2 linked regions of the Arabidopsis thaliana genome follow. The protein of the gene in region 2 interacts with the protein of the main gene of each other region in a pairwise test. Each region holds a gene or a part of one and is shown on either strand. Other genes may lie near its edges. The genes, in order: HON4 and NRP1.

Region 1 (5,663 bases), on a different chromosome or scaffold from region 2:
CCTAAGGTGTTAGCAGACAAAGGAGCAATGACTAAAACATCAGCCCAACGTCTAAGCTCGATGTGAAGGACAGGATCACCGATCTTGTTCCAGCTAGACCATTCATCTTCATCAGTATACAGAGTCACTTCTTGTGGGAGAGAGAGTTTATCGAGGAAATGTAGAGATGATTTCGTAACGACGGCTCTGACTTCTGCCCATTCGGTGAAGCAATGGCAGAGATTGCCGAATTTGATAGCAGCGACGCTTCCACTTGCAGCGAGTAGTACACGAGGCTTCCTCGGTGTGGTATTCACTTCCATGTCTTGTCTGTCTCTTTTCCCATTCTCCATAGCTCTTTTACACCTTCAGAGATCTAGCAAAGTAGCCAATGGTTCGGCGAAGAACCCTAACCGAAAAATTGATCTGGTCGAAGAGAATATCAAAATGTTTTAGAGGGAAGAGAAAGAGAGAGGCCCGAGAGGACAATCATTTTAGTTGCTGGTCAAATGGGCCATTGACTCACTCTTTTTTAGGCCTCGGTCGTATGGGCTGTGAATATCGATATATTTCATTTTATATTTACTTCGTTTGGACTGCAATTTCGATTCTGAGTTCGACTGTTGTGTTAACTCTAACATGTTTTCGAGTCAAAGTTATATAGCTTTTTGAGCCAACGTGAGATGGAAATGAAGATATTATTAGTAAGAAATTAAGTAAGAGTCGACCTGCTAAAACCGTTGGGTGGAAAATAGACACGAAAACATCTCCACAATGTGCAAAGCGGAAGCAGAGAGCAGAAGACAGATTGAAAAAAACAAAGGCACAGACGCAATAAGAGATTATTAAAGATGGAAGACTAGAAACATCGCTAATTTACAGCCACGTCTTATGGTTTGGTTAAAGACACACCGACAACAACACCATTAACGAGTCTACTATTTCTTCTTCTGCAGACAACAAAACCTAGAAAAATTAAAATTCCTTATAGATTTTTATATAATTTAAGATGCGATTCCAACACCTAAAACAACTAAAAAAAAACACTCCTAACGCCAAACACCAAGGCTATTATGTCTAGGTTGTTTTCTAGATCATTATTATTCTTCAGAACAGAGCTTCTTGCATTGCCTCTGCTTCTGTCTGGGTCTGTGTTTCTCCTTCTCTTTCTTGTCCTTCTTCTTGTCCTCCTTGTGTCTCAGCAGCTTCAGTTTGTTGAGCTTCAGTCTGTGGTGCTGCAGTCTCCTCTGGCTGCACTTCTTCCATAACTTGTGGCTCAACGGTCTCCGTCACTGTTAGTGCTTCCAGATCTTTTATGGCTTGCACCACTGCTTGATTCTCACTTGTAACTCCATCCTTCAACACCTTCACAATTTCTTTCACTTTCTCTTGCTGAAATCATTTACATACAAAAACCAAACATAAGCAAGTAGAATCGAATACTTTAATCAAATAAAGGACAGCCAAACTGTTTATTGTCAACAAGTAGACTTACAAAAATATCAAACTTCTTCTTGAGTTCTCCAGAATCTTGTGTCCCAGTCGTGACTGATGTTCCAATCTAGGTTCATGAACCAAAAAATAAAATTGTTGGATAAAAGTATAACATATTCAAGAAAGACATTAATGGTTAAATTAAGAAGTCTTACTTTAGATCCAATTGAACACGTTACTAGTAAAATAGAAGATACAGAGAAGAAGACACTATGTGATGACTTAGAAACCATTAAGCCGGATTAACACACTAATTGATGATAAAATTATTCCTAGCTATAGCGATACATTACCGACTATTTTGGTCTTAATTATCCAAACGAAAATTAAAATAAAACAGAGAAACCAGATAAGGATAAGCCAAAAGTAAGGGACACGAAAATATAATAAAAACACTAGATACTAGTCAGATTTTGGATACGCGAAAACAGACAACAATGCTCAAAAGCGGAAAGTGACATTGAGTTTGAATTCCACAATGATTGCAACACAAGTATCAAACTTTATCAATCTAAATTGACGGCGGAGCAGTGAACAATCATGCACAGTAAACGTCAGATATTGCAAAATCGAGATCACGAATACAGAATTGGGGGATGTGAAAATTTACCTTTCTGGGTCTACCTACAGGACGTCCTCGTCCTCTCTTAGGCTTCATAATAAGCCTACTGATAACACCACCAATCTTAGGTGGTCGTCCACGTCCACGCTTCATCCCTGGCGCAACCGCTGCCACATTTTCACCACCTACTGGAGCAACACTAACAATACTGCTAGGGTCAACAACTCTCCTAGGCCTTCCTCTGCGTCTAGCACCATTAGCAACATAAGGATACACAGAGGCAGTAGAAGAAACGGATTTGGGCTTCCTCTGTCTCCCAGCAGCTCGACGACCCGGTGGTCTACCTCTACGTTTCATAATTCCAGCCATAACCGAAGCTTGAACGATTGGTGCAGTAGCAGGAGCAGCAGAACCGTTCTTCCTTGGACGACCAGGTCCTCTCTTCGCCGACTCTGTAACCGGAGTCGGAACCGGAACAGGTGATTGAACTTGCTGCTGTTCCCAGATTGGCTGTCCGTTAGCCTGGACTTGATTGGTCGGTGGAAGTTGCTGTAGTGGTTGTGGTTGAGATTCAGGTTTAGGCTTAGGAGGACGACCACGACCTCGTTTCAGAGGCTGAGAAGCAGAGCCAGAAGCCATGGGATCGTTGTTACTTGAATGGAGAATCTCAGATCTGGGAACATCGAGACCTTGAGCGGCGGCAGCAGCAGCAACAGCTACACTAGCAGGAGGAGTAGAAGAACCAGCAATTTTGTAAGATTTCTTAACCATAGAAAGAACACCACTGGTCTTCAAAGTCTTGAGATGGTGAGTCAACAAAGCAGCATGAGCAGAAGTTAAACCGGTGTAACATCTCTCGATGTATCTCGAAATTGCCATCTTGCTCGAACCATCCGGTTCGTTTAACGCCGCAATCGCAGCGCAAATCATCTACACACAGAAAAAAAAAATTAGTAACAAAAAAAAAAGTAACTGAATTTAGTTATAAAGGAAGAGGCTTTTAAGATTGAACTTACTTCGGAGTAAGGAGGGTGGGGCATTGAAACATGTGGAGATAACTGAAACATCTGCGGTTGCGGGATTTGCGTTTGCGTTTGCGGCTGCGGTTGGAAGACGACATGGTTATTGTACGGATTTGGTCCTAAAGGATGATGATTGGAGGTGGGAAAATGAGGAAAAGGGGTGAACTGAGGAGGATGATGAGGATCACCAAGAGATGGATCCATGGATGTGAGATTTTTGCAGAGCAAAGAGAAGAGAAGATACAGTAAAAAAAAAAAAAAGAACAAAAAAAAAAAAGACAGAGGTGGAAGGTGAGATTTAGATTTAGGGTTTTTTTTTCTTTTTTTTTGTTTTTTGCTCTGAGAGCTCTTTTGATTTTTTTGTTTTTGTGAAAATAAAATTTTTGTGAGAGAAATAAATAAAGTTAGGTTGGGGAGAGAGAGGCGGAGGAGTAGAGACGAAAGGATGAGAAGAAAGATTACTATTAAATCTAACCGTTGATTTGTTTTCTATCGACGGTTTTGACGAGGATCGATGACGTGTCATATCATTTTGTCTTTTATTTTAAGGATTTTGTGTTTCTTTACTTTGATTTTTTTCATTTTTGCCTCTTAGAATTTTGCTACATTTTCGCTCCAATGTAATAAAAAATCACCAAAATTTTAAAAATGGACCGCCAAAATTTTAAATTATTTTTCTGAAAAGAACTCCTCGCTTTCAGTGTAAAACAATTTTGTTGATTTTAGAATAACATCGAATGAAGTATATAGCAAACACTGTTACATTAAGTAACCCATGTAACAAACTCCATTAAAGAGTGTATGATAAGTAAGAGATGTATTGAGATGAGTATGGCAAAACAAATGCAATTACTAACTTCTATGTCCTCTGTTTAGGATTTGAAATCGATACATTTACATAAAATTTAGTTTCAAATTTATATTTTCTGTGAATTTTGTTAGAGTATATATCTATTTGCGACCCTTTAACTTAATCACAAAATGATACATCAAATATGTTTTTCATTAAGGAAAAATTACAAGACATTAAAATATTTTTAAACAGTAATGTATGATATTTACATTTGAATTAAATTTTAACTTTAGTTGCATTTTAACAAAATATTTGATATATATATATATATATATCTATATATATATATATAAATGTACGACGTAAAACAAAAATAACAAATAAATGTAAACCTCTTATTATAGATGATGAAAGATAACTTTATGAAAAAAATAAAATATGGAAAAATATATTTACCAAGTGCTAAATACATTTTTCTTTTGTCTTGTATCACAAATAAGCGTGATATATTTAAAAGAATAATTGAAATATTAAATGATGAAAGATAAGTTTTAAAATTTTCAAAATATGGAAAAACATGCAATTAGTAAGTATTGATTGCAAATTTTAATTTGTTTTGTACAAAGAAGCGTTATTTATTTAAACATTATAATAAAAATGATAAATAGTGAACGATGAATTTAAGAAAATTTAAAATATGAAAAACTAGAATTTATAATTGTTTAATGCAAAATTTATAACAAACAAGCATTTTTAACGGGTAATGTAAAGGATACAAAGTGAGCGATAATTTTAAAGATATTTAGTGGTTTTACATATAGTTAATGTTTTTTTTTTTTTTTTAGAAGAACTTTTTTTTTCATTTGACATTTTAATATTGTTTAATGAACTTTTGTGTATTATATGTGTGGATTCAAAAGGGTAGTTGGATAGATTTCACCATTTGAATTTTGAAGTAGCAAATCTCAAATAAAATCAATGGGACTAAGAACAATTGATAAATCTATGGGGGAACAAGTGTCACACCTATCTCCTTGGTAAAGCCAGCCCATACATCACGGTACCCAAAAAGAATCATCCAACAAGAGAATTGTTGGTACATATTACTGACATTACAATACGATATTATAAAGAGTACAGTACGTTTATGCTTATGCATTAAGCGCAAGTAAAACCCGATATATGCTCATCATTCAAACTCCAAGTATCACCTGAGTCGTGTCGTTTTCATACAACAATTTATGTATGCTCATTCTTTTAATACTAATATATCTGTGTTGTGATGTGTGCATGCGTGTGCTCGAATACTTTCAAGCAAGGGTCAAACAAAGTGCGGCTGGTAATAGACGATCAGAAGACACAATCACCAGACACCAAGTAAGCAGATGACAAAAGACGATCACCACACCAGAATTCCAACAAAACAAAAGATTATGATATGTTTTGTCGCCTCTGATATGTCACACTACACAGTACACACAACCTCTTATAAACAACACTTTTAACGGGCCGAATTATCAGCCTTCAATATAATGTTTACTTATGTGATGGACCTCAACATTACATGGGCCTATCTGTTGCATAATTAACAGTTTTAAGACCCTTTTATTTTTCTCTCGAATTTGAAATGATTTGTTTATGTTTTTTATTTAAATGTTTTTGCATATTTGGTTGGGTCCTCTCGAGTCACACACGACCGGAGACGTGCATTAGAAGAGTTACAGAGCAGACATTTGCTGGCATCTTACAATTATCTCAAACATAACCTTCTTTTATTATTAGGCTATTGGCCCTACCCACCACCACCATTTTT
Region 2 (5,264 bases):
ACTGCCGTTTCTGCAATGCGTACTCAAAGAAGCTCTCCGGCTTCACCCTCCAACACCATTGATGCTTCCACACAAGGCCAGCGAATCAGTTCAGGTAGGTGGGTACAAAGTTCCTAAGGGAGCCACGGTTTATGTCAACGTGCAGGCGATTGCTCGAGATCCTGCAAACTGGAGTAACCCAGATGAGTTTAGACCAGAGAGGTTTCTTGTGGAGGAAACGGACGTTAAAGGTCAAGACTTTCGGGTTCTTCCGTTTGGGTCGGGAAGACGGGTGTGTCCAGCCGCTCAACTCAGCCTCAATATGATGACATTAGCACTAGGTAGTTTGTTGCATTGTTTCTCATGGACATCCTCTACACCTCGAGAACACATTGACATGACCGAGAAGCCTGGATTAGTTTGTTACATGAAGGCTCCATTGCAGGCTCTAGCTTCGTCCAGGCTGCCACAAGAGTTATACCTTTAACTTTTAACTGAGATAGATTATATTAATCAACATAAGATAAAGAGAGATTCTCAATTGCGAAAAACAGATGTAGTTATGGCAAGATTTAGGACATGGATGATGACATGGTTCGTACAAACAGAATGTAGCTATTGATAGTAAATAAACTAAATATTCCAAAAGAGAAAGCTTAGTCTCATCATTGCTAAAATTGAGAACCTCATAACACAAACTTTACACATCTGTTATAGAAGCAAGCCAGCAATGTGTTATCTTTGGGCTCCCATCATTCCTCACCATCTTCCTCCTCTTCATCGTCATCGTCTTCTTCTCCCTGAAGAGATTATGGTTTCAAAGATTTTCAAGGTTAAGAGATGGTGCACAGTAACAAAACATGTGACTCATAATAACAATGTCCAGACTGATACTCAATTAATCAATGTATTTTGAGGAGCAATGAGACAATTGTTTTACCTCTTCGTCACCATCATCATCTCCATCAAAATCCTCTTCATCAGCATCCTACATACATCAACAAAATCTTTAAGCAACTTATTACCTCTACAGAAAGAGGATTCAAGATTGAAAGTGAAATGATAAATAGTTTACATTGTTGAAGTAGGTGAGAGGGTTGGACCAGAGATCTTCCTTGATAATATCAGCAACCTGCTCCGAGAGAAGATTTCGGAGTTCAAATTGGGCAGATAATAAAAACGGTCTATAACGTATAACAAGTCAGAAAGTAGATGAGTATGTACCTCATCATGAATCTCATCCCCAGCATCTTCCTTATGTTGAGCATCAGTAAACCAAGTAAAGAAACTGAAGAGAAAGTTAAATGGAAAGAATTTAACTTTTTGTATCATATTCATCATATATTCATGACCACAAGAATTTCACTAAGAATATGATCACTTAATGGGGTCTAGAACAATACCTCTCCTCTGGCAATGCACGTTTATTTCCTTTCTTATCATCATGGTTCACTCCATTTGGCAAGCCCTACATTATTGAGAAACATCATTAAAAATAACGCCGAAGAGAGACAAATAAAGTAAGAAACTTATTATCTGTTTATATTTACCTTGCCCTCCTTCCATTTGATAGGAGTTGCAGTGATTTTTGTTGTTCCTTCTTCAAGGAAAGTAAATGTCTTGGTAAGCTTGGCATCCTCAAAGAACGGGTTTGAAGTGAAGTGCTGCGATTGATACCCCCAATTTAACAAGTTAAATAACAACAAAACCCAGTAATCTTCTCAGATCAATATGAGAAGACAATAACAACAGATTAGAAAAATGAGCTGGATAAAGAAACATACAAAAGTTATAGAGTATCCAGATTTCACATCTTTGGCATCCTCCACTTCCAGAGAGTTCAAGTACTTAAAAATCTGTAAAAACAGGGAAATCAAATGAATTGGTAAAAAGTAATGTAACTGTACAGAAAAAATGAATGCCAATCGGATAGTTATCGCCTTATCGGCATTATAATCTGGAAAACATGCCGAAAGATAACTCAAACCTTTTGGTCTTCTTCAGTCAAGAGGTCGCCTAAGGCAGGATGACTCAAAAACTGCAAAGAATGTGTAATGGTCATTGGTCAATAAGTAGTAGATGTTTAAAAACAGTAACTGAAAACAACCTATAAACACTTACAGCAGTCATCCAAAAGCCAGGAATCGATTGGATAACTTCATTGCGCTTGTCATAGACAGGTTTCCGTATCACGTTATATTTCTGCTCTACTTCCAAGACCTCGTCACTGGCCTTTTCGTTAATCTATAACCAACAAACCAGAGTTAGGAGAAAGAAGAAGAAAAAAACACTCATTAGAGTTCATGTCAATTCTAACTGTACTTATGAGTTAATGATATGCAATTGTTTGAGCTTTAACTTCTCAAACAGTACTCTTTCCACTAACTTCTCTATAGCTATTGGAGGAGTAATTACAGAGAGCAGTCACATGAATTAAATTATAAATAAGCAGAAATCACACAACATGTTCTCAAATTGCATTGTACGAATACACAACTATCACTACTGTAGCAACAATACAAAAAGACGATCCTTCATTCAAATCCAGCTACATATGAACATTAAAGTAAAATCTGTACCATAAAAATCAAAATTGGAATCCATTCAACTTTACCAGGATACAGAGCACATGACACCGGTTAAGAAAAAGGGGAAAAATCTGGAGAATCAGAGCAAATTAACGAAAAGTGAAAGAGGAGATTTTTTAACCTTCTCGAGGTCGTCTTGAATCTCCTGAAGCTTCTCAATTGAGAGAACAAGCTCTGCGTCGATTTGCTCCAAGTTTTCTTCTTCGCCTTTCTCTTCAATTTTCGACTTCTTGCTCTTGTCCGCGACCATTTTCAGTTCACTTCCTTTGAGGAAACCCTAATTCCAAAGAAAGAGAGGATTTTGGCTCCTCCTTTTGGTCTCTTCTCTTCTTGTGGTTCCGTCACAAGAGAATCAGCTAAAACCCTAGCTCCCGATGAGAGTTTATGCTTGTGAAGTGTGAGAGTGGGCAAAAGGGAACTTAGGGTTTTGAGGGGTTTATGTGGACCAATCAGGTTGCGCCAGCTGAAGCAAATAAGGGTATATTAGTCAATTTAAAAATCAATATTAGGGTACTTTAGAATTTTCTCTTCACTTGCTTTTTTAAGTTATCCTATTAAAATAGTTGATTTAATAAAAGCGGATTAAGTCATTTAATTTTTCCCTTTTTGTGTCGTATGATTTTACTTCAGGACCACTAAAACATTATTGCTCTAAAATATTATAACTTGACAAAATATATCCACTTTAAAATAAAACAATTTGAGAAGAAAAAAACAAAAAAAAAAAGGAAATGTTGACAGTGGGATTTGAACCCACGCCCTTTCGGACCAGAACCTTAATCTGGCGCCTTAGACCAACTCGGCCATATCAACTTTTGTGTTCTAGAAAGAAAACATAATTATTTATTCAAATTATTCCTACGCGCTTCTTCGCCGAGTGCGATGGGTTTACTACTCCCAGCGTTGTAGCCGTTGAAGCTCATCAGTGAACTTTACTTTCATCCATTGTAATTGATTTCTCCAGTTGTTTTCTGAGTCTCCTCATTGAGAAAGGATCTACCTTTTTCTCGATTTTATTCTCTCCGCTGAGAATTGTCTAGGGTTCTTCTGTCTTCTTTGCTATTTCTCTCGTATCTGGATTTTAGGGATTCAAAGTATTTTCATTAGGTTACGATTATTCTCCTTTATGGGTCCTCCTCTGCTTCCGAAACATGTAACTGCAGTTATAAAATGTCAGAAGGATCCTATGAAAGCTCTAGAAATGTTCAATTCGATGAGAAAAGAGGTTGGTTTCAAGCATACTTTATCTACTTACCGCAGTGTCATCGAAAAGCTTGGATATTATGGAAAATTCGAAGCCATGGAAGAGGTTTTAGTGGATATGCGGGAGAATGTTGGTAACCATATGCTTGAAGGGGTTTATGTTGGGGCAATGAAGAATTATGGTAGGAAAGGGAAAGTTCAAGAAGCTGTTAATGTGTTTGAAAGGATGGATTTTTATGATTGTGAGCCTACGGTTTTCTCTTATAATGCTATTATGAGTGTATTGGTTGATAGTGGTTACTTTGATCAAGCTCACAAGGTGTATATGAGGATGCGGGATAGAGGTATTACGCCTGATGTTTACTCGTTTACGATTAGGATGAAGTCGTTTTGTAAGACCAGTCGGCCTCACGCTGCTTTGAGGCTTCTTAATAATATGTCTTCTCAAGGCTGTGAGATGAATGTGGTTGCTTATTGTACTGTGGTTGGTGGGTTTTATGAGGAGAATTTTAAGGCTGAGGGATATGAGTTGTTTGGGAAGATGCTTGCATCGGGTGTTTCGCTTTGTCTTAGTACGTTCAACAAGCTTCTACGTGTTCTTTGCAAGAAAGGAGATGTTAAGGAGTGTGAAAAACTACTTGATAAGGTTATCAAAAGAGGTGTTTTACCGAATCTGTTTACTTATAATTTATTCATTCAAGGGCTTTGTCAGAGAGGTGAGCTTGATGGTGCGGTTCGTATGGTAGGTTGTCTCATAGAACAGGGACCCAAACCTGATGTCATCACGTATAACAATCTTATATATGGCTTATGTAAGAATTCCAAGTTTCAGGAGGCAGAGGTTTACTTGGGGAAAATGGTGAATGAAGGGCTTGAGCCTGATAGTTATACCTATAACACACTAATAGCTGGATATTGCAAAGGTGGGATGGTACAACTTGCAGAAAGGATTGTAGGTGATGCTGTTTTCAATGGATTTGTGCCTGATCAGTTCACATATCGCTCCTTAATTGACGGGTTGTGTCATGAAGGTGAAACAAACCGTGCTTTAGCTTTATTTAATGAGGCCTTAGGGAAAGGGATAAAGCCTAACGTTATTCTTTACAACACACTGATCAAGGGATTGTCTAACCAGGGTATGATTCTAGAGGCTGCTCAGTTGGCGAATGAAATGTCTGAAAAGGGTTTGATTCCTGAGGTACAGACTTTTAACATACTCGTAAATGGACTATGCAAGATGGGATGTGTTTCTGATGCTGATGGTCTTGTTAAAGTCATGATCTCCAAAGGGTACTTTCCTGACATATTTACTTTCAACATTTTGATTCATGGTTATTCTACACAGTTGAAAATGGAAAACGCACTTGAGATATTAGATGTTATGTTGGACAACGGTGTTGATCCTGACGTGTACACTTACAACTCTTTGTTAAATGGTCTCTGCAAAACTTCAAAGTTTGAAGATGTGATGGAAACATATAAAACTATGGTGGA

What was found.
Region 1: the proteins of NRP1 (region 2) and HON4 interact in a two-hybrid assay, tested with the Arabidopsis thaliana proteins (one study listed by BioGRID).

What each region holds. Positions count from the first base shown.
Region 1 is NC_003074.8:6,168,298-6,173,960, forward strand, and holds HON4 (winged-helix DNA-binding transcription factor family protein), read right to left. Parts: upstream 3,709-5,663; 5' UTR 3,262-3,708; coding exon 3,052-3,261; intron 2,966-3,051; coding exon 2,084-2,965; coding exon of another isoform or gene 2,012-2,083; exon of another isoform or gene 1,629-2,011; intron 1,541-1,628; coding exon 1,475-1,540; intron 1,372-1,474; coding exon 1,087-1,371; 3' UTR 666-1,086; downstream 1-665. Other genes in the region: HAL3A (HAL3-like protein A), read right to left, coding at 1-332.
Region 2 is NC_003070.9:28,017,084-28,022,347, forward strand, and holds NRP1 (NAP1-related protein 1), read right to left. Parts: upstream 2,967-5,264; 5' UTR 2,818-2,966; coding exon 2,689-2,817; intron 2,224-2,688; coding exon 2,101-2,223; intron 2,018-2,100; coding exon 1,967-2,017; intron 1,836-1,966; coding exon 1,764-1,835; intron 1,644-1,763; coding exon 1,530-1,643; intron 1,448-1,529; coding exon 1,383-1,447; intron 1,268-1,382; coding exon 1,204-1,267; intron 1,112-1,203; coding exon 1,083-1,111; coding exon of another isoform or gene 1,055-1,082; intron 968-1,054; coding exon 920-967; intron 780-919; coding exon 680-779; 3' UTR 501-679; downstream 1-500. Other genes in the region: CYP98A9 (cytochrome P450, family 98, subfamily A, polypeptide 9), read left to right, coding at 1-466; AT1G74580 (Pentatricopeptide repeat (PPR) superfamily protein), read left to right, coding at 3,694-5,264. UniProt on the Arabidopsis thaliana protein: Acts as a histone H2A/H2B chaperone in nucleosome assembly, playing a critical role for the correct expression of genes involved in root proliferation and patterning.